Linked DNA regions of Struthio camelus. The protein of the gene in region 1 interacts with the protein of each later gene in a pairwise test. Links are inferred from orthologs where the notes say so. Each region holds a gene or a part of one and is shown on either strand. Other genes may lie near its edges. The genes, in order: NPAT and HINFP.

The links.
Region 2: the proteins of NPAT (region 1) and HINFP interact in a two-hybrid assay, tested with the Homo sapiens proteins (2 studies listed by BioGRID). The link is inferred for Struthio camelus from reciprocal best matches to the Homo sapiens genes NPAT and HINFP.

Annotation. Positions count from the first base shown.
Region 1 is NC_090942.1:205,612,227-205,624,028, forward strand, and holds the start of NPAT (protein NPAT), read left to right. Parts: upstream 1-6,839; 5' UTR 6,840-6,969; coding exon 6,970-7,006; intron 7,007-10,259; coding exon 10,260-10,378; intron 10,379-11,802. Other genes in the region: serine-protein kinase ATM, read right to left, coding at 1,865-2,029, 2,449-2,594, 3,986-4,098, 4,181-4,252. UniProt on the Homo sapiens protein: Required for progression through the G1 and S phases of the cell cycle and for S phase entry. Activates transcription of the histone H2A, histone H2B, histone H3 and histone H4 genes in conjunction with MIZF.
Region 2 is NC_090963.1:3,071,062-3,082,628, forward strand, and holds HINFP (histone H4 transcription factor), read left to right. Parts: upstream 1-5,699; 5' UTR 5,700-5,888; coding exon 5,889-6,051; intron 6,052-6,289; coding exon 6,290-6,516; intron 6,517-6,705; coding exon 6,706-6,817; intron 6,818-7,338; coding exon 7,339-7,491; intron 7,492-7,834; coding exon 7,835-7,912; intron 7,913-8,006; coding exon 8,007-8,127; intron 8,128-8,241; coding exon 8,242-8,380; intron 8,381-8,675; coding exon 8,676-8,800; intron 8,801-9,518; coding exon 9,519-10,035; 3' UTR 10,036-10,810; downstream 10,811-11,567. Other genes in the region: POU2AF2 (POU domain class 2-associating factor 2), read right to left, coding at 2,402-2,405. UniProt on the Homo sapiens protein: Transcriptional repressor that binds to the consensus sequence 5'-CGGACGTT-3' and to the RB1 promoter. Transcriptional activator that promotes histone H4 gene transcription at the G1/S phase transition in conjunction with NPAT.

The DNA.
Region 1 (11,802 bases):
CACCGATTTTATAAAAAGAAAATAGACTTCTCCATTGTACTCCAAGATCTTATAAAGAAGCATTAAGGTGGAAAGGCTAGAAAAGTTTAAGATACCTTTATAAAACTCACATATCCTTCCTTTAATAAAAGCAACTTGTTTCACCTAATGGATTCCTGACTTCCTCTAGATTTATGTCCTTTGGTCCTGCCATACTTCAGTAATTACCTTCCCATGTCCCTTATTATCTAACCTCACAGTTTCTCTTCCCAGACATCCAGCCTCAGTCCATACCTCATAAAGAGACTCAGCTCACTTCCATGTTTCTAAACTACCTCAGACTAGTAAACAATAACTCTTCATGGCTCCTCATGCAACCTGTATTGTACCACGGCTCCTCATGCAACTCAGCCTCAATTTCCCTTCTCTGCCTTCTTCAATATCTGTCTCGGACTTCCCTGGTTTCTTGTCCCATTGCCTTTGTGCCCAACTTCAGTTCTCCCTGAGTACCCAGCTCTTTTTCAGATGCCTTCTCTGATTATTGCTCTGAACTCCAGTTCCCAGCCTCCTTATCCAATCAGTCCACATCCTTGCATTCTGCTCCAGCCTGTAGGTTGACAGCCCCTTTGTACTTTTCCCTTCGCTGGCTCCTAGTGTCAGGCAGTCTCCCCACAGTTTCAGCTTCCCCTTCAACTTCCAGTCCTACCTCCATGGCCAAATGCTATCAACTCCTTTAACCTCCCTGATCCCACTCTCAGCCTCTCTATTCATCCAGTCCCATCTTCTACCCCGAACTGTTCGGTCTCTGTGCTCTGCTAGCCTTCATCACAGTTCTGTTCACCTCCCCCTCCACTCTCACTATAACCACACTCCTCTTCCAAGTTCTTTGCAGGTTCATTTCTATTCTGGAGTTAAGCAACCCTCTTCAAGCTACAGAGCAGATTTTTTTTTTTAATAAATACTTTTCAGAAATCCAAACTCTTGACTGACAACAACTTCTATTGCTATTTGCATAGCACAGTGCTTTGTACTTCTACACTTTCTCCACAATTACACATGCGAGATTGAACAAACTAGACTAAAATTTCTAATTCCTTCTTTTCTCAAGTTACTAATCATCTGTGCTATTACATAAACAAATTAAAATAGATGAGTTGAGAGTTCACTACATGCCAGTTAGATGATTCAAAACATATCCAGCCTGGAGAAGAACATTTATAAGTTAATTGTCTTGGAGTCAAAACCAAATCTCTGAAAAGTAAAAAATTATGTTTGCTTTTTCCCCTAGCAGTGGAGGTTGCACGCCAGACCAACTTTTAAATCTGTTTTAATCTATTTAAACCTTACACGTTCTCATCTTTTCTTTATATGTAGTATTAACATATAACAACGTTGAATCCACGCTTTTTAGGGCCTTCGTGAGCCAATAAAACTCAGATAATAAAATTTAATTTTAGTACATTAACTATATCAAACCTATAGCAGTCAATACCTAATAACAACTTGCCAACAACTGTACACCAAGACCAGTTTTACTGAGACTATTTCTTCTATACAAACTCCATGGATTCGTAATATATGTTATCTCCTGCAGAAAACGTGCATACATATACTCATTGTATAGAAACACTTACGTTTCAGCAGGAAATAGACAAATAATATGCAAAAAGAAGCAAAGCAATAAAGATTAACGATTGATTTTATTTCAGTTGTAAGTCTTCAGGGCTGACCCTACCTTTCTTCATGTGTTTTGTCTCGTACCTCATACAATGTGTAGTACCTCACGCAACAGGGCTTTGCAGTAATAGCATCAGACAACTAAAACCCATCTAAACATACTTTCATAATAGGAAAAGACACTCGTAAGTAGGCTTAAAAATGTTACCTGACCACTGCTGCTGGGATATCTCACACCAGTATCTCCTTACTGAAAGGATATCCTTTAGGAGTATACTACTACAGTCAGCTCCGTAAGCTGCACAACTTGTTGCATCTCTCATGATTTTCAAGACATAATTCAGAAGTTCCTGACACTTCAGTCTGGGTCCTCCTATGTAAAGAAACAAAGTGAGCATTGCAATTAATCCAAAGCTTGCATAACAAACCCGGAATTAATTGCTTGCAAAATGATCATTTCCATATTCACTATTAAAAAAAAAATGCAGTTCAGAAACAGTTTTGCTGGAGATCATATTTTTAAACAAACTGTCTCTAAAAACAAAATTACTTACAAGAAGAGAAAGGATACACCAGTTATAGGCAAAGCAAATAATTAAAAAGGCATTGTCAACATCAACAAGGTAAGTCATACAAAGAACTAATGCAAATAAAGATATTTAATTTGTAAACAACTGAGAGTGGGCAAGATGAACCCCACCCTGACAACTTGCTTCAGAGCAAAAATTCACAGTTGAAAGTAAAGCACCAAATAAAAGAATCAGTGATTCTACATGGACATGTATTACTGACTTTTATTAGCACGTCTGATGAAGTATTTGACCAAACTGCCAATCTCTTGCATCTTTTTCTGTCTGGAAGTTTGCGTTGAAACAGATACATTTGGTTTTGTCAGTCTGAAGCTTTCCATCTCTTTCTGGAAATATTTCTGCAGGACTCTTCAAAAAAAACACCAGAGACATTAATCAAGAATCTGCACGTTTTTGACCTAAGTAAAATAAGTAAACATTGTTTGCACTTAGAATTCAAGTGCTTGCTCATTTAGCAATTCTGATTCTAAAGCTCTGTTAAACACCAAAATACATTACAGCGTAACCATGATAGGAATAGTTTATAAAAGGAGCTGAGATGATCCAGAAGGAACTCGGATAAGAACTGAATATTCCTACATACTTTGCATAATGCTAAACATACAATCCATGATAACGAAAAAAACAATATCGTTATTTATGCTGCGACTTATAGCACAAAATAGTAAGAAATACTTTTTACTGGCTGTATTGGGGAAAACCTTGAAGTCCTTCTGCTTTTAAGCTCACTTACAGTCGACTGGATGTTTTAACTGAATATTTTTGGACTTAATAGATATGCACTTCCTGAAAAAATACAAACCTTCCAGCAGTGTGGAGAAGGTATTATCCATTTATTACAATAACAATTCTCTATCATTTAAAGTTAATATGTAATACAAATAGATTAAACGTTTTACTGGCTTTGTTGCAATTTCTGTAGATTTTCTGGCTTGTTATTTGTATTCAGTTTAGAGTCTGGCCATCTCAAAAGCAACATAAGAAATTTACTGAAAAGTTCTTACAGTATTTTGCTACAGGTGTAAAACAAGACCCATTCAAATGCCATCCAATTAAAAAATATTCTGTAAATCTGCCCAGATGCCAATCTGTAAAAACTAATACTTCAGACACACTTTAATATGAAAACTGCAGTGGGCCCAACTGCTCTAAAAACTTATCCCGCTCCCACTCAGTCCAATCTTGTAGTACACCTAAAGCAATTATATCAAAGATGGGCCTCTACAAACCTCACAGCATGACCTCTTTAGCTTATAAGGCACAGTCCTTCTGCTGTGTCTTGAAGAATTCAGTTACAGAAAAATTTTAAATGAGATACTTAAAATCGACATATGAACTATAAATTGAAAGTCAGATGCAGAGGATATTTTTCAGTAACAGAAAGTAACTATTATTTTTGCAAGAAAAGCTAACCACCTATTAACAATCAGTTTCTCAGGAGACGGTTCTAGTGTTTGTACATTTACAACGTGCTGTGTGCCCCTGCATCTTCTGTAAGTGGAAAGTGTTGTACTCAGATGATTGATGCATTATTTGGCTATTTTAGATTTATTTCTTTTAGAGAGTAACATAAGTCATTTCTTGACTGACAAGAAGCCTCAATCAATCCGCAGGAAGATAAGCATTTAAATAAGCCTGATAAACAAAATAGTGATGTTCCATGCAAGAAACATGACCTTTCACCAAAAAAAAAAAAAAAAGAAGAAAAATGCTTTGCTCTGGACAGTAAAAGAACCTACCCAAATACAGCATCCCAGCTGAGTTGCTTTGCTTGTTTAGAATCAGAATTCCGGTCCAGTTGGAGAACTGTTTCAGAATCACGGAGCAGTCGCTTGAAATTTTCAATTTCTTTCTGAAAATGTATTTCAGGAAAAAAAAGGTTATTAATCATTCCCTTCATTGAGAATGATATATACCAGAAGAAACCTTATTACCCTTCGCTCTGTAGCTTTATCATTCTCAAGGTGACGGCAACAAACGAGCAGATCATGTAACACAAGACTCATGGTTCAGTTTAACAGGACAGTCATTTGCATCTGCAAACAGAAAAAAAGGATGAAATAAATTATTTTATTTAACACAGAGCCAAGTCAATCAGTTCAAAATTTTGAATTTTCAATATATTGCATTTCCATGTCAAATACAACAGCTTTACTTCACTCAAAAGCTCATTCCTCTCTGGGTTGGTGCTATTGCTCACAAGACAGAAGTAGAAAGTGTCATGTCAAGAATGCAATCTATTCCGAAGAGCAGTAGTTGTGGACAAAAACAGAAAAGGGTCCTTTCACATGACTGACTTCCTTCTTTTTAAGGCTAATGAAAGAGCAGAGAGTCGATGAGACAATACAGACTGAAACATGAACGGTAATGAGAACACACTCGGCTCTATGTCATTTTAATCAGGCAAACAGCACTAACTTTCAGGACATAGCAGTTATCAGAAGCACTTTTAACCTGATGAGGAAAAGGCAGCTCTTTGAAAATAAAACTTTCTTCCACTCTAACCTTCTCTATTATACAGCTATGCACCATTATATTTACAAATGCCTCTGGACTCCAAATACCACAAGATGCTCAAATATCAACGACAGGAGAAAAATACTTTTTTGCTTCTATTACTACTTAAGATTATGCCCTACCTCTTTTAACATACGTCCGAATCAGATCAACCTTACATTTCTGGTTTCCAGAAAATTATGTTGACGCAGATCATGACAATGAAATTGTATGCAGCGTCCATGCTTCTCCTTGTACCCTTTCCCTTAAACTAGCCTCAGGACAAACTCTTATCTGAAAAACAGAGATGGACATGCTGGAAGTAACACCAAGCATATGCTGCTGAAGCTGCAGTATGAAGCTGAGAACTGGCATACATGATGCACATCACTGGCCCCGGAACACTTAAGTAAGAATATATAAATAACCATTTAGCTGAATAAGGCAGTTAAAACTTTAAAGATCTACCGTCTTATACAAACATCATCTTGCTTTCATCTTCTTTGGATTCAACAGAGATCACGCTGAGACAAATGGGTTTCTTCATATATGTCTGGAAACCACATTTTAATAGCAAATTATTTTGACTGCTTTATAATCCACGTGATTACTTTGACCGCATTAAAAACCGAGGTGAGGAGAAAAAGGACAGAAGAGTTGACCAATCTGTGGAATAACCAGGGGCAGGGGTCCCTGACATATACCCTTCCCAAAGCAAAAACAAAACAGCAGATTTCAAATGTTTGACGTTTATGCCATCTATACAGCGCATCACAGGAAAAAAAAATACTGAGCACGTTCTTTGACAAAAGGTCAAACTTGACAGATAGTCCTGTGCATAAAACTCTGAATATTGAGAGCTCTTGTTCCTCTAGAAGAGTTCGAACCTCTGTCTTTAATCCCCTAAGATCATCTTTCCATCTTATCACAGTGCTAGGATTTATGGGAACATCACGACTTGAATGGCCTTTTTCCTGTCACATATTCATGTGCCCACCTTCCTGTTCTCTTCCTTGTAAATCTGTGTCTTAAAGGTGACCAGAACTGAGAACTCAAGACAACCGTGAAACACAACGTTAAGGCACCACCATGTAGTAGTGGCAGCTAGCAGCTAAGATGGATGGAGACAGTCAACACGGAAATGGAGCTGAGTAAACATGACCAGAAAGGGATGGTGGCTAGTTAGGTATTGAGGAAAAGGAACCTATGGCAAGCTTGAAAGGCCTGCTCTGGCGTACAACTAAGCTCAGTTAAGCAAGGAAGCATTCCTCTACTAACTTGCTACTTATGCCGAAAATAACCGAAAGCAAGAAACAACATTTCACATGCTAAAGGCTTCTAAAACATTGATGGGATGAAAAATTAAGGGTTGACTGAGAACTGTGGCAACACGGGGTTGTATGTTGTAGGGACTGGGGCTCAAGAAGAAAGAGGGCCGCGTCTTCTTTTACTGGCATTTAAAGGTATTTTAACTACCATGACAACAACAGTGACAAGTTCCTAACACTGTACGCACTTGCCGTTTCTCTTTGCAGCCCAGTCGCCAACTACCAAATCATGACGGCACTCATCCCCTTTCAAAAAAAAAAAAAAATACCTGGGACAAGTGGGACAAGGAAGGAGCCCTTTAAAAACAGCAGACACGCACCGAGCGCTCCTCACCGAGCTACGCTACAGCGGCCCAACCGCCACCTCGCGGGTAACCACAGCCGACCACCCCAGCCCGCCGCCAGGCGAGCGCCGGGCCGCCGCCGCCGCCCGCTGCCTCCCCGCCGCCCGCCACCCGCCGCGCGGGCCGCCCCTCAGCACCCGCGCGGGGACCGCGCCTCGAGCAGCCCCTCAGCCGGGGCGGGGGCAGGCATCGGGAGGGCACGGACGGGCAGGAGCAGGCCCACCTCTGAGCGGCGTCAGGGGAGCGCAGCGCAGCGCGGGCGCGCGGCGGCGGCTTAACGGCCGGCGGCGGCGCGCGCCCCCCTCGCGGCGGCGGCGGCGGGCGAGGAGAGGAGAGGAGAGGAGAGGAGAGGAGCGCAGCGCAGCGCACGTGTGGGCGGCGGCAGCGGCGGACCTGGAAGCGGATGCGCGGCGGCGGGTTCCGGCGGAAGGGGCCGGGCGGGGCGCTGGCTGGCGGAGTTTCCGCGCCTTGCCCTGGGTGGCGGGGCGGCCGCGCCGCGCCTCGGGGGGCCGCGTTCGCCGCGCCCGCGCCGCCTGCCCCTCCGCGCCGCGGGTCATGCTGCTGCCGTCCGACGTGGCCCGGCTGGTGCTGGGTGAGTGCGCGCGGGCGGGGCGGGCACCGCCGGGCCCGCGGAGGCGGCCGCGACCGCGGCCGCGCAGGGCGAGGGGAGGGGAGAGGCGAGGAGAAGCGAGGAGGGGGCTCCGCCGGCCGCTGACAGGGCGCTCGGGGCGGCAGGCGCGCGGAGGCAGCCGCTGCGCCCTTGAGCCTCGGCCGGCGCCGGGCCGTGGCCGCCCGCCGCCGGGGATGTCACCCGTGTCCGCGGCGAGGCGCAGTGCCTGGGCCGCCCCGGGGCGGTCGGGCGGCCTTGGGCCCCGCTTTTAGCGGGGAGCGCGGCCGGTTCGCCGGCGGCTTTCGGCCCCCGCGAAGGCAGCGGCGGGGCAGGTGGAGGCGCCACGTTGTGCTCGGGCGGGTGCTGCGTCGGGAGCCGCCCGGGAGCGGCGCTGAGGTGACTCCCGGGAAGGCCGGTGGGCTCTGCCGCCTCCTTGTGCGGGCGGGGGCTGGTGGGCGAGACTGGGGGGAGCCTCTGCTCTCAGCACCAATCCCGGTGGTCCAAGAGGCCAGATGAGAACAGGTGAGGGTTCAGCTGGTTTTTCTTTCCCTGTTTCCGTGAGCCGCGAGGTCAGATCGAGAACTCCCTTCTGTGGTGCGCGCTGCGTCCGTGGGAAGCATAAAACAAGTGTTTTCAGGACCTTGACAGCAGGGAGGATAAACTGCTAAAAAGACTTTACGCTTGCAATGTTTGGTCACAGCCAAAGATGAGAGCAAGTGGCCGTGGATTGGAAGTAGGACCCCTATATGTAATAGGTACGCTGTCAGCAGGTACTGGTCCAGGTCGCTAAGATTTCCTGGCAGTTTTCATAGCAAGATGCTGTTTTCAGGTGCACAGACAGCCTGGGCAGATTTTGCCAGTCAAAAACCAGTGAGGCTGAATCTTTTCTTTCGTCTGTCTGCAGTTCTATTTATTTTTAAACGCTACCTGAAACGTTTGTTGTTGCTTTTCGAGAACTGAGCGTAACAACAGAAACATTGTTTTTATTATTGCAAAGTAATAGGATTTTTTTCAAATTCTGTGCATTGTAAAAGAACACTTACAATTTGGCGCGGGATATCTCTTTTTGGCCATTTACTTGCTATACTTTTCGATAAAATTTTGGTTAAGTTGTAAGTTTCTTAGTAAACAGTTTATCTCACGTGCTGCGTAGAGACTTGTAGATAGAATAAAAATTTTGAACGTTTCGCGTGTATTGAGGATGCTCCGTCCTATCTTGCGTCTGTTGTGGCGTAGTGCATGCAGTAGTCCTAGAAAATCTCTGAGCAACCCAAGATTGTAGAACAGGATATTCTTAACAGTTATTTTTGTCTTCTAATAGCGATTGCTCCTCTCTGAGGCATCTGAATTCTGAGCAGATCAACAGGCTTCCTAGCGCAGTTCCTCTTCCTTTTTTTTTTTTTGTTTTTCTCTAGCAAAGTCTTTTTGGTGCTGTGAGTGTTGATGAGTATTGATTTAAGAAACAGAACTAAAATGGTAAGATGAGCTTGCCTGTAGAAAAAGGCATAAGCAAATTTATCGTTTTCTAGGTAAAGAGTGAATGAGTACTGTAAGGTAGACCATAGGTCTTCACATATATTAAGATAGAACAAAATGTTGAATACTTTCTAGTTCAGCAGGCACTCTTCCTTTTGTGCCTCTAACTTGTTTTTGGTAATGTTGAAGGTTGTATATGATTCTGTTATTGTAATGTACGTGCACAGACAATTTAAGTTCAGTCGCCGTTATCTGCAGGAAATTGATGTATGTGCCAAATAGGCCTGTGTGCTGGCATTCAGTCATCCTTCGCAATAGGAGGCTCAAGAAAGAAATTGCAACTGTTTTTTAGCAAAGATCCAGAAGATGGGTTTGATCTGTGCTGGTATGGCTGTTCTTACAGTCGAACTCCCATCTAGCTTAATGCCCTGTCTGTAATACTGGTCAGCAATGGATGGTACAGCAGACAGGCATAAGACTGGCATGTAGGTGTATTTCCCCCAGTGTGCCCTCAGCTTCTAGCAATTTGTGGTTTGAGGATTTTCTAACAAAATGTATTTGAAACATTAAATATGGCAGCCCTCTCTATTCCGCAGGTGCCAACTACATTTTGTCCCATATGGGCTAGCTCGTACATCCTAATGAAACTCTCAGCAGTTATTCTCAAACTGTGTTTAACTTTGAAGTTTATTTGTCGGAGGCCTGTGAGTGTGAAAGCTGATCTACTTTTTCTAGCTATGCTTGGATCTGATAAAAGATATTATGTCTTCATGTGAACTTAAAGGCAGGATTTTTCTATGGACTTTCCTGAACTGAGGCAGGCTGTTTTGGGGTTCTGTGTGAATATGATTAGGTATGTGTATTTTAACTCTTTAAACGATTGCGTATGCAGTTCTGCTACAGATAAGAAAGAAAAGGCACGATATTTTGTTTTATGGCTCTTTTGTTCTGTAATCCTTTACTCAGATTGATCTAGCTTTACCTTTTAGCGTTTAGACTATTTGAAGATTAAAGCGGGATTTAAAATACCTTAAAAGAGCATATTAACTGAGGACTGGGATTTTGAAAAAGTGAACTTTTTCAGTATAGTTCCTGGTAAGATAACTACTGAGTCTTGGGGTAGGGTATATAAAGTGTACAAGTGTACACTAGAATACCTATTAAAAATGAAAATTACGGTAAGTAGAAAAACAAAATACTGATTTTGTAAAAATAATTTTTATATAATGTCATTTTTGGAAGAAATCTAATGCGCTGTCTTAACGATGCATATGTTCTACCTGTTCTGAAGCTGGAGAATTTATGGAGAGTTATTGCTGCACAGCAATGCATTTTATTAATACAGTACTATAGAATTCTATTTGTTTATAAAACTAGATGTTTATAATCAAAACCCATGTGTGAGTTTATTCCTGACTTAAGAAGTTGATATTTTCTTTCTTGTCTGTACAGTGCTATGTGTACTAACGATCAGTCAGAAATTGTTCATATTGTCTCACTTCTAGTCTTGAACAGTTTGTAAATCCAGTACAATGTTAATAATATGTGCTCTTTCTGGTTTTAACTATTAAAGGAATACGTTGCAAGATAGGTGTTCTTTCATAATGACTTCAGTTTCCTTATCTAATGCATGAATCCTTATCTAATTGTTCCAACGTTATATCATATAGTTGGTCGTATTAATGCTTCAATACCTACCAAGCACAACATGCAGAAATAATGAATAAAATAGCAAAGTCTTCTGTCTGATTTATTGCAGGGTATTTACAACAGGAAAAGCTTTTAGCTACCTGCCGTGAATTTATTTTGGAAAGCTCAGATTTGAAAGAATATGCAGAGCACTGTACAGAGGATGGGTTTATTCCGGCCTGCTTGCTGGTGAGTTTGTATTTGTAACACAGCAAGTTAAATTGTGTTACAGCCGCGGAAGAGAAGCCTTTTTTTCCCCCCAAAAAGAGTTTTCAGAGTTTTTTTCAGAATACATATGAACAGTGTAACAGTTGCTTCTCAAATGGTGCTTAAGCTGTTTAGTTTGATGGTCATCTCTATTTCTCAGCATCTTTCAATATTTAACATTACTAATAAATAGTTAAGAGGAAAATATGCCAATTGTGTTCAGCATGTTACATTTAGTCTGCTTCATTGTTTTCAAGATTGATATATACAAGGGTGTTCCAAGCATTTTAATTGATTTCAGGATTGCTCTAGTGATTTATTGAAGATCACTTCCTTTTTTTTTAGATACAGCAGTCGGTAATGTTCTCTTTCATGTAAATACTAATTTAGGTAAGGTGCCTCAGCTTTATTTGAGCGTGTCAAAAATTGGTGAAAACAGCTATGTTTTGATTCAGCTTCCCCTTTAATCAGTATGATCTGCTTTGTGCCAGATGAAACGTGGAACTTTGGGCATGGGTATAAATACAACGTGCAGCTGCGTACGTAGATAGGTGCATATAACTACAGGACAACTTGATGCTTTGCACTTTCAGCATATATGACCTGAGATTTTTTTAGTTAGTAACAAAATTATAGGTTTTGGATATTGCTATATATCAAACTTTTGATATTTGTATGTGTATCTTCTTCCCGTTTTGCATTCCATTCTTCTAACGTACCACTCAATCATGTAGTCTGGGATTTTGTCCACAATATTGAAAGTGTGTGGAACTCTTCTGAGATCAGTGATCGTGATACACGTATGAGCATGGAACTTCTTATTTCGTTAACAAGTGTCTAGTCATCTATACTTTGGGAGCAGTGGGGGAAGGGAATTGAGAACCAAGCTATGGCCAGGAAGAATTAGACTAACAACTGTAAGTAGAAAGGATTTATTCGTATTCTTTAAGTTTTTGATTCTCTTCCTTTTCTCAAGAGATACCTTTTTCCTATTTTTCATAGAAAGGTGATGATATTATAGCATAAAGAAAAAAAACTCACTGCAGCGCAAAATACTTGCAATTCAGTAAAGTGCTTTTGTCAGGCATGTGCTGTAGGAGTTGCTACAAGTAAACAAGACAGAAAGGTACAGTAAACGATAGCAATAATTTGAAAATTTTATTTCTCTGTTTCACCTAAAATAACAGAACAAATAAATATGAAATGAAAGTTAATAATAGTAATTGTACTTTAGGCAACAGCTCTGTTCAGGTTTGCATCTTTGTGCACTTTGTTCCAGGATGGTGCATATTTGTTAACCCAGGGTAGGTGCTCTTAATCTTATTCTTGTGTCTTTAGTCCATAAGAACAAAGACAAGTCAAGCTGAAGTCATGCAGATCTGAGTGCTGTACCAATGGTGTGCAAC
Region 2 (11,567 bases), on another chromosome or scaffold:
CAGTCTGCTTGGTATCCACAGCAAGTACAGACAGGTTCTTGGGAGCTCTGTTGTTTTAGCAAGGGGAACAAAGCCCATAAGGCACAAAGAGGGGTACCGCGTCTTAGCCAGGTCACCCGGAGGCCGGCGGCCGGCCTGGCTTCTGTTTTCTCAGCCTCCCTGAAAGCCAGCAAAACCTGCACATCGTGTCTGTGCGACTTTTGGTGCATCTGTCCCCTTCCCCTGCCTGGGTAAATCTTTGTGAGATCTGCTGTGGGTACAGGTGTTTTGGTGCAACTGAGAGAGAGAGGTACGGCGTACAATACCAGGGGCAACTTTTTATCCTGGCTAGCAGGCTGTGCCTGCACAGAGAGCTCACACCTGTGGAGCCAGGGAGGAGTGTCCAGAAGGGCTCTCATTGAAATGTTAAGACAAGAACTCAACTTTGAAGCTAATCCCTTGGAAAACAAGAAGCCATGTTCCCTCTGAGGGAACAGAGACAGCTATACTGCAGCTGAAGTGTTTGATCTCTAAAATTGTGATTTATCATTTTCCCTTCTGCTTTTCAGGATGTGGCATTTGGTTCCATTCATCATTTTCATTCTGGTGGCATTATATCCCCAGGTGCACATGCACACGGAGAGCTTAGAAAGGGAAGCGTTGAAGGCATAAACAATGCAGAAAGTTGATGCTGGCTTGGGGTTACCCCAAATGTCTTCTGGTGGGCCACAGTGACTGCAGTTGTTGGGCAACTTCAGCTTGGGTTTGGTGTTTGAATACTGACCAGAAACTTCAGCCAAGATTGGGCACAAGGCAAATAGTCTGCAAGAGACACTCGCTGCCCCCAAAAGCTTATGACTGAAATAGTCAAAACAGAAGTGGACATTGAGTCTGTGTACGGACCAGCCAGTATTTCTGGGTAAGCCGGCGCGCGGCCAGGCATGGATATCAACTCTTCCAATTCGGAAGAATCTGCCTGTACGCTGAGGCTGGCTCTCTTCCATGGCCCTGGCACTGAGTTTCCCTCCTATGATCCCTTCCCAGGGCTGTTTTCACTGAGAGCAGTTGGAAGCAGAGGGTGCCCTGGGTACCCCGGAGTTCGGACGCTCTGGCGGCGCGTCTGGGTGTGACTGGTAGAAGCAGCGACAGCTTCTGCACCTGAAGCTTTGTGGCTTTGCCTGAGCGTTTCTTCAGGGACACAACACTGCAATTTGATGGGAGAGCGCGAACCGGGTGGTGCGGTACAGAGCGCTCCATCCTGGTTTAATACCTAAGGTAACTCAGGCAGCCTTGCTAGCTGCCTCCAGCTGAGGATTCAGGCCTTGATTCAGCTCAGCACCTACATGGGGGCTTGATATGAGGAATGTGCCTAAATTCCCAAGATTAGCTTTGGATATAAGTTTCTGAGGGGGGCCCAAGCCAAGAACACACTCTCATATTTGATTTTCAGAACAGGGCTGTTTCTGTCAGAGCATCACTGAAAAACTATGAGCAGAGATGTTCAGTAGGTGAGCGGAGCGAACGGGTTTCCTCTCAGCTAGCGTTCAGGGCTGATTTGAAGTGGAGTCTGGCAATTGTTTTAGGAGGATCAGAGCCAGTTAAAGCTCTGTGCTGTGCCCCCCCTGCCAGTAAGTTGTCACGGTACCGCAGCTGGAACAAGAGATGAATTTTTTTTATTCTGCAGTCTGATATTCCCAGATACTGCAGCCTCTTCTATTAACTGCCCTTGCTCCTCTGCGATCATTCCTCCCAGCAAGCGTCTGATGCTCTGCACTTCTTCAGTACTGTTTTCCTATCATCATCATAACAGTCTGAAGACATTAGACAAACACTTCCACATACCCTTACTTTTACGCATGGGTACGCTGCTGTTGAAGTTACTTTGCTCATATGCCCATAAATTATGCCTAGGCTCAAATCTTCATAAGTAAGCAAGATAAGAGCCCTGTCCTCTGACCCCTTGTTTAGCTAAGTAGTCTGGCATCATGTAAGTGACTCTGTTGGTTTCAGTGAGTCATTCTGCAGGATCTGATCCGGAGCTATTAAAATGCTAAATAAGCCTGCTATTGGCAGCACCAGGGAAGGAAATGCTAATTTCCTAATTTAGGCCAGGTTTTATATATTTTTCGAGTAAATTGAATTGTATTTCACATCATTGTGGTTCAGCTCTCTTTCAGAAAAATATTACTCTGTGAAGGAATATGAATTCTGTTTAGAGGAGGCTGAACATGCTAATAGATATTGTTAAAATATTGGGCTATTAAGATCCCATATGTTGGTTTTAGACAATTCTGCTTTCTGAATTGATTTTACGTGAGCCCACAGATAACATGGTACAGTCTTTCCACAGTTACTCTTTACCATCAATATTTCCATTAAGATACATCTTTATATGTTGGAAAGTCAAGGTGCTGGGACTCACCCATTTCCGTTCTGGCCGCTGCTGACTAATTCCAGCTCTCAGATTCTGCAGGACTTTGGAGAAAGGCCGTCATGGGCTTCCCGGAGCAGAGTGAAGTCAGTGCTCATTCTCCGCTGATAACCAGCTGAGCCCGATGGAAATATGTTGTCTCAAATTTAGTGATGTCTCCACAATAGCTTGTGTGAGATTTGCTTAAATGCAAATATCTCCCATGTGCGTTTCACTCCCATTTGAATGGTCAGTGTGGATCAGTCTCAAAGGGTCTTTTTTCTGTCTAAGCTGACATGTCATGGATGAAAACTGAGCTGAGGTTTATCGATGGAAAAGTCTTTGGCTAAAATGAAAGGCCAGTAAGTCCTGCAGTGATGAGCTGTCTCCTTAGAGGAGAGGAACCTGGCTGCAGAACAAGGCTTGGAGCAAGAGCTCCAAGTGTGAGGCATCCAGGTGCTGCTGAAGAGCCGCATGGCAGTACTGTCCCACAGGGACCGCACAGGCTAGCTTAGGCGTTACACAATTAAAACTAGATCTAGGAGACGTGATGAACTCAGCAGGCTTTCCTGCTGGAGAGGGGCACAACTCGTAGCTGGGGACACCGGCGGGGGTGTCCTTTAGCAAACCCACATATTCCTGCGGGGAGGCCAGGGTTGGGCTTGCCGTTGTCCAGCCGGGAGCCCCCTTTCTGGAGAGCTGTGGTTAGTCTCCTGCCTGGTGACAGCAGGGGAAATGACGGCTAGGAAAGGACCTGTTCTTACGCTGCTCCTGGACCCAGAGAAAAGGGACTTTTGGCCTGGCTGGCTATAGCTATTCTTCTGTTCTCAGCCTCTTAACAGCAGCAAATCTACTTCTGCAATACTTGAATCAAGCAGCAGAGCTAACCCCTTAATGTTTCTTTAAATAATGCTTATGCCCTGATTCAGAAGCATATCCAAATTTCCTGTAAGGGAGCCCTTTTCCCACAGAACAGCTAGCACAACCCAGGAATAAGTTGAAGACTGGCTGCAGTGAGACAGCCAATCTCTGTAGCGTTTTGTGTGCAAGCAGAGTGGTACGTAGCAACGCGATGCTCATCTGACATGAGCACGACAAAACTGGCGCCAGTACATTCCTCACAATTAAATATTTCTCCTCTTGTGGAGCCCACTGTCAGTTTGTGGATCTATTAGATAGATCTGTCCCTCTTTGTAGTGCCATGCATTTTCGCTAGCACTGGCCCAGTGATGAATGTGGCCTGTCACTTACACTGCCTTCCCGGGGGAAGGCTATTAGTTTTTTAAGCGTATTTTTTTTTTTCTTCAGAGGAAAAATAAACTAAAAGGGGCAGCTGCTGGAAAGCTGCATATGTTCAGGCCGTCATGGAAAGCGGGGAAGGCAAAGCTGAAGTATCATAGAGAATAATTCCCCATATACTTAATGTACAGATTCAGGTATTCTGGCTGCTCAGATACAGAGCTCATGACCGAGAGGACACCGCACAGAAATCTGATGGAAAACTAGCTCCTGCACACAGAGTCTGTGGTCGCTTATAGTCCCCCTCCCTGTGGATGAGTCTTGTTTTGGCCAGTGCGTTACTGCCACCCCTCCTGGTATCCGCAGGTCCCTCGGATTTGCAGACAGCTAGTGGAAATGGCAGGAAGCACCAGGCAGGTCGGGGAAACCGGGCAGAGGTAAGGTCGCAGCAGAAGAGGGCTGTTTTTGCATTGTGAGCAACAGGCGTATTTTGCCCCCTGCCTCCTGGCAGACTTCCCGCCTGGGTTTGTCTCCTGTGCTGGACATATGTTTGCTTTGGGCAGGATATACAAGTGAAATCCTGGCTCCATGCAAGCTCAGCCTGACCGTTGCAGCTGTAGCACTGTCCGCCCAGGCCAGGTGTCTTCACCACCGATTACAAAATAATTGCATTAAAAACAGCAACTGATCCTGCAGAAAATAATTAAGCAGAGATGAAATAAAAACTCATCCTGCCTTCTCTTAGATGACACCCATCTCTTTTCTTATGTTTCCCTTTGCAAAAGCCTCAGGTCCAGGTTTACTCTACAGTTTAGTGCCTTTCATTCATCTTATCGGGTAGAGCCAGGGCATACAACAGGAATTACAGAAGCAATTGTGTATTGACAAGGCACACTTTATGACACATTTTATACAATCCCACTTGATTTTAGCATGGTGCCAAAGCAAACCTCACTAAGAATTATAGCTCTATTTTGTACTACAAAAGCCTGGAATAGCAGATGCAATATTCAACGTATATTTGTTTAATTCAAACTGTCATTTCAATCTGTCTTCTCATTACCAAGTGAAGAAAAAAAAAAAAGGTCTTGCATTATCTCACAGCAGGAACCGCAGTACTGATGGACAGTAATAGCGTTTGTACTCTGTGTTGGCCAGGGCATGCAGCTGTGCGTTATGCGATTGTAATCTCCCCTGGTGAGAGGAGTTGCTTGTTGAGACAACAAATAGCCACAGTGTTTGCCCTGGACATCCTCGAAATGAGCGAAGGCGCTAAAAATGAACGAGAGCGGCAACAGGGAGGCATTTGCGGCGCTTCACGCTCCGTCGCTGCGCCAGCCAGGCCCCGCGTGCAGCCTCCGGCTGCGCCCAACGCCGCTCCCCGCTCCCAGGACGTGGCTTCACCGAAAGCCACGTGGGTTAGTCCCGCTGCTGTCCAGCACGGTTGCGCTTATGGATCAAGTCAAGCCCGTGCACAAGGCCCTGCCGCGGTGGGCTTGCGCCGGGACGCCGCAGCAGCTGCTGCCGGACCCCCATTTTGGGCATTTTGGTGGGGCAGCCAGGAAGGCTTCGGTCCCGGTGAAGGGGTGCGAGGGGTGTCCCGGGGGGATGCTGCTGCGCTCTGGCCAGGCCCTGGGGGTCAGGGGTCACCCTGGGGGTCAGAGGTCACTCCTGGAGGTCAGGGGTCACACCAGGCGGGCTCATGAGCAGGCTGCGGGGGGGGGGGAGAAGGTCCCGGAACCTTTGCGCGCCGGACGCTCGTTTCCGCACGGGTCCGCTCGGCCGCCGCACGCGCGGGGCCGCCTCCTGCCTGGCGATTGGCTGGCGGCCGGGCGGAGGCGGCTGCTATTGGTCGGGCGGGCGCGGTCCGTTGGGATCCGGCGCCCCCAGGTGGGGGGGGAAAGAGCTCGGCGGGGGCCGGTCGACAAGTGCGGGCGGTTTTCCCGCCCCGGCGCGGGCCGCGGCGGCGTCTCCCGGCTGCGGGGCCACCGGATCCCCCCCCCCCCTCCCCCGCCCCGGGGCTGCGATCCCTCGCTCCGGGCCCGGATCCCCCCCCGGAGGGCCGCCCCAGGGAAGGGTGAGGGGCCGGCTGGGCCAGCACTGCCCGCTGTCGTGGGCTCGGCCCCGGCTCCAGCCGCCACCGTGAGCCCTCGCAGGGACTGCCCTGCTGTCACCGAGGCCTGCCCGGCAGCGTCCCAGGGGCGCCCTGGCCGGTTTGGGGTGAGCGGGGCAGCGCGGGAGACGTTCCTGCCCTGCCGCCATGCCTCCTGGAAAGGGTGGCAGGAAGGAAGCCTTGGTGCTGCAGTGCGAGTGGGAGGTTTGTTCCTACGTGGCCTCGAGGATGGAGGAGTTCTGTGAGCATGTGGCCCAGCACTTGCAGCAGCACCTTCCCAGGGAAAACCGGGACAAGGTGGACCCTCTCGGTAAGAAGTTACCGTCTTTGTTGTTTGTAGTGGGTCATAAGTCCTCTTCCTTCTCTGAGTTTCTTCACTGTGGGAAAAATGTCCTTTTCCTTAAGGAGAGTGGCTCTGCCGGTTGCGCAACTGGAATCTTATGGGGAAAAAAAAAAAAAAAAGAATTTCTCAGCCTACAGGGATCTGAGCTTTATTTGGGAGAGTTTCCCAAAATTTTATACGCTGGTGTCTCCTGTTTGTGTTGCAGAGGAATACGCATGTCTGTGGCAGGAATGTGGTTTCTGTTCGCCAGAAAGCTCAGCTGACCTCATCCACCACGTCTATTTCCACTGCTACCACACCAAGCTGAAGCAGTGGGGGCTCCGGGCTCTGCAGAGCCAGTCAGACGTGAGCTACTGCCAGCTGGATTTCCAGAGCCGCAATATCATCCCTGAGATCCAGGATAACTTCCTATGTCTGTGGGAGTACTGTGAGGTCAGAGCAGGGGAGCCAGTTCTACTTTCCTAAGTGTTGTCTGTGACTTGGCAGTGAAGGGGAAGAGAGCTGCGCTTTCCTGCATGCCTGCATGTTTGCTGTGTTTGTGCCTGGGGGGAAGTGTCTGTTGTGCTCTGGCTGAGGCAGGCTCGCGCTGATCTCTTCACCCTGTTCCCTCTGTCCCCGCAGAGGTCGTTCGATAATCCTGAGTGGTTCTATCGGCATGTGGAGGATCACAGTTTCTGTTCTGAGTACAAAGCAGCAGGGAAGGAGAACCGTGTGGTCCTTTGTGGCTGGAAAGGTCAGTGGGAGCATGCAAGGCCTTTCCGGAGAGCTCTGCGTGGGGCTGGATTGTGAGGGCTGTACAGGAAAGCTCTGCTCTCTTTGGTAGGCTCTCAGAGAGCCCCTCTTACTTCAGGAGCATGTGTGTAGTGCTGACAGTGAAATGCTCCTGTACAGTTTCTTTCAGGGGATCCAATGGTCTATTTCATATTAAACTTCTAATTTATAGTTAATTAGTACGTAGGAGAAGAGGCTCTGGTTTACTTGTTAGAATAATTGCTCTCTTCTGAGTTTGTGCAGTTGTCATAGCCGCTTGTGGGGTGAGGGGACCCGTGCTGGGTGTAGACTAGTGTCCTGATCATTCTGTATCTGTGCTGCATGGGCTCTTTTGGAGCAGAGCTGGTCCTGGCACAGGCAAGCAAGCTACCTGCTGTTCAGTCAGGTTGTGGAGCCTGAGACTCCTCTGTGGCCTGTCATAGGATGGAACAGACTCGGTAACTTTGTGAAGGATCCTAACGGTGTTCTGTTGTTTGTGTTCAGACTGTGATTGCACCTTCAAAGGGCGCTGCAAGCTGCGGGAGCACCTGCGCAGCCACACGCAGGAGAAGGTGGTGGCCTGTCCTACCTGCGGGGGGATGTTTGCCAACAACACCAAGTTCTTTGACCACATCCGTCGGCAGACCGCACTGGACCGTAAGCTCCTGCAGGCCCAGGGAGGAGTGGGTTGTAAGCAGGCGTGCTGGATTCCCTTGTGCTGTGTTGGAGAAGTGTGTTGCGTTTGCGACGGTTGCTCCCCGGTTCCTGCTACATTGGCAGCACAGGGCAAGCTGCAAGGGTGGAAGACAGATTGATCCTTAAAAGTGGTTTTATGTTTTGGCTTTGTGGTTAGTGTCTGCTGACTCTGGTTGCAGAGAAAGGTTCAGCAGAGCTGGGAACCTTTCTCATTTGTTACTGTTTGTGTTGTTTTCTCTGCTTTGATTTCTCTTTTTAACCACCCCTTTCCCTTCCCCCTTCTCCCTTGACCTTGATGTTGCAGAGCAGAGGTTTCAGTGTTCTCACTGCTCCAAGAGGTTTGCCACAGAGAGGCTGCTCCGTGACCACATGAGAAACCACGGTGAGTAAAGGCCCCTTCTCCCAACTGAGGCTCTGAGGAGTGTGTTCTCTCCTCTGCTCCGTGGTGATGTTTCCCACTCGTTTCTTTCGAGCAGTGAACCATTACAAGTGCCCCCTGTGTGACATGACCTGCCCGCTGCCCTCCTCCCTGCGCAATCATATTCGTTTCCGGCACAGTGAGGAGCGGCCGTTCAAGTGTGACTACTGTGACTACAGGTGAGGACCAGGGCTTCCTGTGTTTCTGGCTAGTGGCAGAGAAGTGCCCAGAGGCCTGTTTGTATATGCGCAGCACGCGCTGATCACCTTTGTTCCTTTACTGTTTCCTTGTAGCTGCAAGAATCTCATTGACTTGAGGAAACATCTGGACACACACAGCAAAGAGCCAGCCTATCGCTGCGAGTTTGAGGCTTGCAGCTTCACCGCACGCTCCCTCTGCTCCATCAAACTGCACTACCGGAAAGTCCATGAGGTAGGAAGGGAAGGAGGGGCTGTTCTGCTGTGCACTGACTCCCAGTAAAGCTGAGAAGCACTAACCATGACGTGCTGTACAGAAGCATAAGGAAAAAAGCTAAAGCCCTGTGAAGTGCCACAGGCTGACCAGGGCTGCAGGAGTGTGAGGTCAGGTTGCCTTTCTCTCTTCCTGCTGCAGTGATATGTTATGTTAGTCTTCACAGAGAACCTGATTCCTCCCTCAGTGTGTGCAGGCAGGTACCAGGCCCTCTGCATAGGCTTGTGGGGTTCTCACAATCCTCTCTGCGCTCCAGGGTGACTCAGAGCCCCGGTACAAGTGCCACGTCTGTGACAAGTGCTTCACACGTGGGAACAACCTCACTGTGCACCTCAGGAAGAAACACCAGTTCAAATGGCCCTCGGGGCATCCTCGCTTCAGGTACTGCCCTCCCTCAGCTCCTCCCTACCTCTGCTCTGGTGCAGGCAGCTAGAGCTGCCTTCTGCATCTTGCTGAAGCCAGCAGAGGTCTGGCAGTGATTGGGCTCTGATGTTTGTTTGCCTGTAATGTACTCGAGACCTGCTTCCCAGGGCTGGGAAGGAAGCCCTGGGCAGCAAGTGCTCAGTGGGATCAGACACTGGTGGAGCAGTGCTGGGTGGGAGCTCCAGCAGCGGGTCAGAGATTAGGGGTGTGGGCAGTGGTGCCGTTGCGGCTATATCCCTGAACTTGGCAGGGGCCAATTCTAGGTGTCCACCCTGGAGAGTTGCCCCAATTCAACTTCTTTCTTCTTGACAGCTGCCCCTCTGCTATGCCCTCTACAGGACTCTCTGATCTCCTCAAAGGGTTTCTCGAGCCTAAGGCTGGGAAGGAAAGAGGATGGATTTTGAATGTTCCCAGGGAAACAGGGTGGGGGAAGGAGATGGGCTTTGGAGATGATAGAGAGCAGGCAGAAAGCTCAGAAGCTGCCACATGAATGCACTTACTAGGAGGAGAGGCTCTAGGGTTTTTATCCTCCTTTGCCAGCATCATCCGTATAGTAGTGGGTGTTGGAGCCTAGAATATAGTACCCCTTCCTTGGGTGCTCTTTCAGGCTGCTGCTGTGCTCTTGGGAAGGGACTGCAGTGTAACCTGCTCCATCACCCCGCCTGTCTTTGCTCAGGTACAAAGAACATGAGGATGGCTACATGAGGCTGCAGCTGGTGCGCTATGAGAGCGTGGAGCTGACAGAGCAGCTACTGAAGGACCGTGAGAAGCAGGGAGAGGCCCTCGATGGCTCGGCTGAGTGTGTGGTGCTGTCTGAGGGTGAGGGCAACCTGCAGGCCATTGTTCTGGAGGCCCCAGCAGGGGCTCCCTCAGTGGAGAACAGTGACACTGAGCTGCAAGTGGCCCAGCTGCACCCTGCAGCCTACTCTAGTGGCAACCCTGAGACAGCAGGGCCGAGTGCCTTCGTCGGAGCAGCGCTGTCCTTGGAGCAAGAACCCAGCACCCCAACCAACCCCATCATCCGTGTGATGAACTGGACCAACGAGCTTGGGGAGAGTGAGACTGTTTATTGTGTCATAGCTGGTGAGGAGGAGCGGGCCGCGGTGCCTAGTGGGCTGGCTATGGAGCTGGAGGAGAATGTCATGGACCGTCTGCAGAAGACAGCTGAGGAGCTGGGCATCCAGATTGTGTGAGGTGCTCATCTGCCTCCCTGCGTATGGAAAACACAGGCCTCTGTGGGATGTGCTGGTGTGATCTGGTTGTGATGTGCTGGGGAAGAGGGCTGACCGGGTCTCTTCCCACGTGCAGCTGGCTAGCTTCCTTCTCTGTTGCTCCAGCCTCACTGGCTGCCAGTTCTGGTCTGTGTGGGGAGGTGGAAGGGGCTGGTCTCAGCTGCCAGACAAGAGATTTGAGCTGAAAGAGCTGTCTCCCTCTTTTAGGGATTAGGGGCAAGCCTCTCCCACCCTTCCACAAGGTTCAGTCTTTGCCTGGCCCAGGCCTTTTCTGCCTGGTTGCTCACTGGTGATGTGGTCCCTGCTGCTGTGTAGCCACGCTGTCAGGTCTTCCTGAGCCTGGTCTTCAGTCAGGACCTCCCCGAGCAGGGAGCTGTGCTGAGCAGACGCGGCAGGTGAGACCTGTGGCCCTCAGGCCTGTTCTCCCCCATACCTTGTTCCCCAAGGGGTGGCTTGCTCCACTTCTGCCTCTGTCAGCATTTCCCTTCAGGATGTCTCCTAACTCACTCAGCCAGTGCTGTTAACAGCATTTGCACTGCTGATCCCCATATACTGCATTGATCTTGTGAGAGGAGAGGGTTGGAGGTGCTACAGGCTACTGCTTCCCTGCAGCACTGGGGGTTTGGGGGCTTCCCAATGCTTTTGTTCTTCCCTGAGTTTCCTCCCCACATTGGGGTTTGGGCTCCTGACCAGGCAAAGTGTACTTGGGAGTGACTAATAAAAAGCCAGAATGCCAGGCCAAGTGGTGTGTGGTGTCTCCCTCAGCCCCATCCCGGCCAGCCAGGGTGAGTTGTGGTGTGACCAAGAGATCAAGCAGCCCAGGGCCTGCAGTGTGAGAGCCAGGCATGATGGTGCTGCCGGGAGCACTTAGTGGTGCTGCACGTTGCCATATGGTGCAGCTGACCGCTACCTTGGAGAGCGTGTTGTCCCATGTCCCCAGGGGTGGCACTGGAAGGCCAGGTTTGGCTCAGGTACTCCTGCTCCCTGGGGTGCATTTGATTTTGCTGCCTCCTGCAGCAAATCTCTGAATCTGCTGCAGTAGCCTGGGCTTGTGGGGTGAGGCAGCTTGCCCTTCAGGAAGTGGTTTGGAGAAGGACAGCATGAAGTTGATCTCCCCGGAGCAAGAAGGGCAACTATGGCCTTTGCTGCCCTCTGTGTGGAGGTGGTGTGACCAGATGGAGGTAGACAGGCAATTTCAGTGCCCTGACTGCTCTCTTGGGCCTGACACTGACTTTCTTCCTCTCTTCCTTTCTCAAACAGTTCAGTAAAAGCTGCTGGAACTCCAGGTTAGTGGGGAAAATCACGTTATGCTAAACCCCTGGCCATCTGCTCACTTTCTAATTACAAACACTGTGGGTGTGACTTGTGGCTGAGCCCTTGGGGTGGGGGGCACAAGAGCAGCCCCTTGGGCCTGTGCCACAGGCAAGGGGCAGCAAGCTCTGCAGTTGTTGAACATGGGCTGGGGGAAGAGCAGGGATGAAGCAGGGGGGAGA